Coturnix japonica: one gene and its partner. The protein of the gene in region 1 purifies or fractionates together with the protein of each later gene. This does not show direct contact. Links are inferred from orthologs where the notes say so. Each region holds a gene or a part of one and is shown on either strand. Other genes may lie near its edges.

What was found.
Region 2: the proteins of KLHL6 (region 1) and NUDCD3 purify together in Homo sapiens (affinity purification with mass spectrometry; 3 studies listed by BioGRID and IntAct, counting the BioPlex papers as one, with this or other methods). This does not show direct contact. The link is inferred for Coturnix japonica from reciprocal best matches to the Homo sapiens genes KLHL6 and NUDCD3.

What each region holds. Positions count from the first base shown.
Region 1 is NC_029524.1:735,160-738,971, forward strand, and holds part of KLHL6 (kelch-like protein 6), read left to right. Parts: intron 1-457; coding exon 458-623; intron 624-3,612; coding exon 3,613-3,812. UniProt on the Homo sapiens protein: Involved in B-lymphocyte antigen receptor signaling and germinal center formation.
Region 2 is NC_029537.1:94,258-97,793, reverse strand, and holds part of NUDCD3 (nudC domain-containing protein 3), read left to right. Parts: intron 1-1,769; coding exon 1,770-1,913; intron 1,914-3,536.

The DNA of each region.
Region 1 (3,812 bases):
ATGTTTAGGTTAACACCAGCTCCAGTTCCTGGTTACCCAGACACTCCTCTGTCCCACAGGCACTAACTCTATAGTTCTACCAGGACCTAGCAGAGGAAAATGCATTCTCTCCTGGTCCATCCTTGGTACCAGTGGAATCAAAGCTGTGTTGGAGCCTCAGGGCTCAGTCTAAGTAGCTAAGAAGCACTGACTTCTCAGGGCTGCCTTTTGTTGCTATGGAGCTCCAGGTCTTCTGCAAGCCCAGCTCTGAGATATCATTTCTAAGTGTCTTCCTTATCAGTTGAGTAAAAAGGCACGAAAACAATAAAAGCATACTCCTTATTACTTTGCTACAGGGCTAATTGCATAAAATATGAGGCAATCCAAGTATTTTGTTTTGAAATATATATAACCAAATGTTTTCAGAATGTCTCATCCTGGCTGGGATGCAATAAAAGATAAACATCTTTCTTTTCAGGGCCATGTTCTGCAATGATCTAAGAGAGAAGTATGAAGAGAAGATTATACTTAAAGGAGTTGATGCAGAAACCATGAATATACTCTTGGACTATACCTACACCAGCAAGATGCTCATCACAAAGCAAAATGTGCAGAAAGTTTTGGAAGCCGCCAGCCTCTTTCAGGTACAGATAGCTCAAATGCGCAGATAGTCTTGTAGCTCTGGCTACAGTGTGCTCTATCCTGGTTATAGTACTGCATACTTCTTTGGTTCCATGGGTTCTGGGGGCACTTAGCTTTGTTTCTATTTACACTGTGGTAGAAACTGGCCATGGCAGCCATGGGCTGGAATGCTTCTGCACTGGGTGCTGTACTGGCAGGCAAACAGCAGGGCTCTGCCTCCCAGAGCTCTTGCCAGGCTGCGGGCCCTGGGCAGTGTGTGACAGATGCTCCCCTCCATCTCTGCCCTACCAGTGCCTGCCCAGCGGGACAGTAACTTCATCTCCACCTCCTCCTTGCCTGGAGATTGATGCTCACTGCACAGTCTGCACCTGCCTTTGCAGGTGTCCTGGTTTTAGTCACGACCAAGGCAGTCAGACTGAGCAGTGTTACTCAGCCTTTGGTCCATCAATTATAATTGATGTCCTGTAAATCACCTGTGAGGTCTAGCAAATTGCAGGTCCTGGTACCAGGCTGCAAATCCCTAACAAATTGCAACCAGCATAACCTGCCAAGTGCCGGTGTGTGTGTGTGTGTGTGTGTCCGGGTTAGCTAAAGGAGGTGAGGAGCACCTGACTCCCTAAGCACCACAGTTCATGATGAACTAAAGATTCCTGGATCTTACTGAACACATCATGTGTTGCTGTGACACCAGCCTGGTGCTTTGTGGTGAGGGCAGTGCTTGCTGTGGGGACAGCAGGGAAGTTACCCCTTACAATGGGGTAGCTCAGGGAAGGTGCTTGGGGCTGTATGCAGCTTGCTAATGTTTTCAGCAGACCAGTACTGCTATGGATAGCACTCAAAGGTTGCTCTGGGTTAATTTTTCAGGGCACGTTCCTGATATTTGAGTACTGATAAATTCAGGAGGGTGCTGTTAGCAAGAATAGTGAGCTGCAGAAACCTAGAAAACAAGGGATGTTCTCTGAGGAGCAGAGATCCCAGACCTTGCTGCAGCTGTCTTGGACGCCCTCAAGATTTATAAGGCCTGAAAGACTCCCATTATACACGGGTGAGGTTTTTGGCTGAAGATATGTTCTGTGTAAAAAAAGATTTAGTAACTATGAGCATTCTGCCAGGTTGCCTCTGCTACGCACACTGAGGAACCAACAGAAACATTTGGAAGAGACTAATGTTTCATATCAAAATATTTACAGCTAAAAAGATGAATGCTTCCATTTGTCGTAACGTTGTTCTTGGGGCGCTTCTTTCCTTCCCACTTCACCATGTGAGAAAACCAATTTCCAAGCAGTACTTTCCTTTTATTTTTTTCCTCCAACCAGCAACAGTTTTTGGCAGTGCCTCTCTTCAACCTCTCCAATTTGACTGAGGACCAGAAAATAAATCATTTGCAGAGCGTGGCCTGGGTCAAAGCTGGGACAAACAAGGACTCACACTGAGGGGAAAAGGCTTTATTATTCAGAGAGAGGGCTGAGTGGGGGCCAAGCAAGCATATGGGATGCCTCTAGCAAGTAAGAACATGGATTTGAAGGGGCATGAGAAGGACCCAGCCACTGGGGAAGATGTTCACAGAGAGCAGGGCTTTCAAAATGCCCAGGGCGGTGTGAGGGATCCTCACAAAAGGGACAGTGGGAGCAGGGGAAGCAGAGGCCTGTGGTGTCCTCCTCCTGCGTCACCTGCCCTTGTGGGGCTGACTGGGGCCTGACCAGCAAGGTCTGGGGAGTTTGAGGGAGTTTTGGCGGTAGGTGAAGGCAATGGTGGGAGCCACACAGCAGGCTGGGGAAGTCCTGGTGTGCTGCACTCTGGGCAGCCAGGCTCTGTCTCAGCAGCGCTGCTTCTCACACCCACATCTCACGGTTCTGCATTTGGCTGCACAGAGGCAGTGGTGTGGCCCTGCACCGTGCTGCTGGCAGACTGATGTCACAGGCAGCAGCATGTCCTGAGGCCACGTGTAGCCTGGTGCACCAGGCCTTGTGTTTCTCTAAACTCCTGATCACATCTAAATGTAAAACAGGAACCAGGTAGTCTGCACCCAACATCTGTGATCGGCCAGCTCTGCTATATGTTCTGAATGTGTCAACACAAAATCAAGGGGTCTAGAAGATTCTATCCTGATTAATGAGACAAATCTAAATACTGTGGTGTTTAAAAGTGTCTTTTATTTGTTTCACTTCCTCTTTGCCCCTAAATTACTGTTATGCAATTTTCCCCTGTGGGACAGAACAAGTTAAAATGATCTGCTTGCTGTGTCAGATGGAAAATGGACCCAAAAGGCATGGACAGAAATGCACAGTGTCTGTTCTAGCCCGTCTTTCTGTATGTCACTATTGCATCACTCAGTGACAACTGATACGAAGCACTGATGTCCTGCTACATCTGAAATCACAGAGGAGAAGGAAAGCCCAGCACAAAGCACTGTAACCTGTCATTTGAGTTCAAGAAATGGGGCATGGTCAAGTGGGGAAATATTAGTGATGGGCGGATGGCTGGACTGGGTGATCTCGGAGGTCTTTTCCAGCCTTGGTGGAATGGTTTCTGCTCTGAGTAATCACCAGCAACCCAGCTCACACTGTAGATATCTGTGGTCCAGGAACAGGTTGAGGGAGATTGACGGGGCTGTCGGGCAAAGGAGATTAATGGCAGTAGCTGTGATGCTGTATTAAACACAAACATAGGAAATGCTTTGATGAAGATTGTGTGCAAAAGGCACATTTATGTTTTATGAAGGAAAACAAAGGTTACTAAGATCTCTGAAGATCTCTAAAGCACACAGTAGCAAGACAGCCCTCACTGCTTAGCAGATCAAAATTATACAGGCTGTCCTCCTCTTCCTTCCACATCTCCAGAACAGGATGGCACACCTTTGCATGTGGGGCAGGGCAGCACTTTGGTCCTTGCCTTCCAGACTACAACATTCTGGGAGATACCTGTCCACCTGTCCTCGTATGATTGATTTCTTGTCTCTCCCAGCTCCTGTCTATTTTTTTCTGCCCACAGTTCTTGCGCATGGTAGATGCTTGTGCCAGTTTTCTCACAGAAGCCCTTCAGCCAGACAACTGCGTTGGCATCCTGAGACTGGCTGATGCCCACTCCCTGCACAGCCTGAAGCAGCAGGTGCAGAACTACATTATCCAGAACTTCACCCAGGTCCTGAGCTACGATGAGTTCCTGGAGCTCCCATCTGATGTTCTCTGCAG
Region 2 (3,536 bases), on another chromosome or scaffold:
ACAGGCAGATACTGGCTGGGTCACAGGCCAGAGCAGGGCGGTTCAAAGCAATTTTCAAGCTGGATGGACTTGGGGCAGATTATTGATGGGTTCCTGCAAAACAGGAGCGTTCCCTGCATTCCCCACGCAGCTTCGTCTCCTGAAATAATTATCAGTTTTTTGGCTTCTGCCTGCCAGAACGAGATTAACAATCTCCGTCTGGTCCCTGGGCTCTGAGCGTGCCCGGCTCCATCGCCGCTCGGAATGGCACTCCTGACACTTTTTGGATTCAGGCTGTTGCTATGGCACCTTCTCACTCGGGTAGGCTGGAGGTTTCCTTGTATGGAGCTCCGCAGAGTGGCCGTGGAGCAGAAAGGGGAGAAGGGGTGGGTGGGAGCAGCTCGCGTTCCCCACCTCCCCGATCCACTTAGAGGCGCAGCAGGGGCCCGTGGAGCCCTGAAATAGAGATCACAGCAGCAGCCTCTGCTGCCTGGCTCACAGGACATGAGCGAGGTTGGCTCCCAGCTTTGTGTGTGCTCGCTGTGCTGGTGGGGGCAGGTGGGGGTGTTCCAGGGAGCCGCTGCGGTGTGCAGCCCGGTGCAGGGCTGTGCTGTGCGGCACAACGCGGTGCCACGGCCGTGTGTGCTGTGCTGCCCTGGGGCTGGCAGCATCACAGCCCTTTGCTCAGCCCTCAGAGGGAAACCCCCATAAAGGGGACTGGGGATCACCTCGGTGAGCTCAGAGACCTGCTGGCAGTGACCACATGTGTATGATGGGGATGGGGAGCTGAGGTGAGCACAGCCTGGTCCATGTGTCCCGTCTGTGCACCCTGGAGGAGCTGCAGCATCAGTGGTCACATCCACGCCCCAGGTGAGGGCCTGCAGGCACAGTGCTGGGTGTCAGTGCTGGGTGTCAGTGCTGGGTGTCAGTGCTGGGTGTCAGTGCCGTGATGGCCGCTTGACACCCACATGGGTTCAGGGCTCAGCCTGGTGCTGCTGGTCCTGCAGCCGCGGTGCTGCCGCTGCCTGGAGCAGCTCTGCCCGCATCTCGCCTGCGTGGAGCTAGTGAGTCACTGGAGATCTCCTAGGTAATGGATAATGTAATAACATTTCAAATTAGCTCTGCAGAGCGGGAGGAAGATCTGGGGGAACTCTGGGAGAGAATGCAGGCAAATCTCACTGCAGTCTCCTCCTCTCGGGTGAGGGCCAGCAGCACCAGGGGCCCTGAGCTGTCCCCCCCCCAGCCCTGCTCCTTGCAGCCTGGCCATGCAGGGCGGCAGCAGATGGGCTCTCTGGGGACTGAGGCAGCTCTGTGCAGCTCAGCCAAGTGGCAGCCTGCCACCGTGTCCCCGGGAGGGCCACGTCACCTCACGGCGGGTCGCAGCAGGGTTACCTGTATCACTGCTGCAGGGGGGACACACAGACATCCCTGTGCATGCACGGAACCTGGTGCTGGCTGTGCCTTGGCTTGGGGGCCAAACAAAGCTGGGGAGCGCAGCAAGTGGGCACCCAGTCTGTGAGCTGGTTGTCCAGGAAGGGAAACTGAGGCACAGAGAAGTGTCTGTGAGAGTCTCTGCAGGGCGGTGCTGCCTGCTGCTCCCCAGAGAGGTTTCCTTTCACCTCAGAGCTGTTTGCTCCGAGATGGCAGTGGGATTCCCACCCTCCATCTGTACAAGCTGATGGTTCTTCTCTCTCTCTCATCCTCAGCGAGTGCTCTTGACCCCATGCCCCAAGCAGCGCAGCAGGGAATGGAGCAGGAACCTTGCGATGCTTTTCTCTCTGCCTTTCCAGGTGTCTGTGGATATCAGCAGCAGCACAATCCGCGTGGCAGTGCTGGAGGGGAGCAGCCAACGTGTGCTCATGGAGGGGAAGCTCACACACAAGATCAACACGGAGAGTTCCCTCTGGAGCCTGGAGCCAGGGAAGTGCGTTTTGGTAAGGGCTGCCCTCTCCTTGCCTTGCCTTGCAGCTCCCTGTGCTTGGCCTGGAAAATGGGAGCAGCTGGAGGCTTGAGCCAGAGCTGGCTGCGTCCCACGCTGCCTTTCCCTGGCTGTCCCTGTGCAATGTGCAGCTCATGTGTGCCAGGCAAGGGGAAACCCCACTGCTTGTTTCTGTGCTGCCCCGGGGTTCTGACACGCTGCCGGTCCTGTTGGAAGCAGTCAGTGCAGCTGCTTCTCGTTGCCTTTTACGTCTTCCTGGTCGAGGTGGTTTGGGGGCAGCAGCTCGTTATGGGATCTGCTGCCCCACAGTGAATTGCTGCTGGCTGCAGGTGTCTCTGGTGTGCTCTAGCGATGTGGGCAGAGGGGTGATGCTGCTGGACTGTTCCCACAACAGAAGGCAGTTGATGGGCACCCGAAGGTGCTGTGACTTTAGAGTAGGAATCCTACCGGGTTCATCCCATTGAGTGCAGAAGTGCCAAGGGAAATGCATAGAAATCATGCTCAGGCAGATTCTGTGATCTGGGTTGAAAGGGACCCCATGGATCATGGAGCTCCAACCCCCGGCCGCAGGCAGGGCCACCAACAGCTGGTACCAGACCAGGCTGCCCAGACCCCATCCAGCCTGGCCTTGAAGATGTATCCTGGGGCAAGAGACCAGCTGCCAGGAGGGCCCTATGGGAGAGAAGAGCATCTCCAGATCAGTTGGCCGTCTGAAGGATGTTTGAAAGGAGACAATGGGATCATTCATCAACACTTTTCAAACATGGAACTTTTGAAAACCGTCTGATTTGGGCTTGTGCACAATCCTGGGAAGGAGCAATATTGTTCAGGAGGAGCTGATCCACACGTGGCTGTGTGTGGGCAGCTGGCATTGCCTGCCCGTGTCCTGAGCTCAGCAGGGTGTTACACAGGATGGGAGCAGTGTGGGCAGAGCGAGACTCGGGGCTTTCTGCTGTGACCGTGGGGAGCGGACCCCTCATCTCCAACCCGAGCTGGAGGCAGGAGCCTCAAATTAGCACGAGCTCAGGGCTGTGAGGATCTCCAGCTGGCTGCCAACATATTGATGGTGGGATGAAATGTCTCTGGAAGAATTGTAAGGTAACTGGAGCAGAGTGAGTAATTCAACCCCAGAGTGTCTCCTTTCTCCGTGCGCAGAGTAGCCGAAAGCGCCGGGCGATTCCTTCCATTCATTCATCAGGAGACACGCAGCCATTTGGTGCTTCAGCTGCTGGGAGGGAACTGTGAGCACTGGGCTTGTCCTGAGCATCTTCGTGCAGGACGTGTGAGCTGCCGGGGGCAGCAGCCTCCAGTGAGATGGGGGCACAATGAAGCCATGCTCAGTGTGCCAGCGCTGTGCTCGCTGTCTGGACGGTGCCTGTCCATTCCCCTCACTCCCAGATCTGGCCGAGCCCTCGGCACATTTCATGTCCTTGGGTGCTTTCATGGCTCTTTGGCACCCAGATGAGGCAGAACCCCGTGGGCTGTGGCTGTGGAGCTGCCTGCTCTGCCCGGCGCCGCAGCCCGGCCGTAATCCCCGTGCTCTCCCCTCGCTGTCACGCCTGCTCACTTGTCAAAAGGGAGATGAAAATAGCTTCGCAGGAGCCGTATTTAGAAGGCT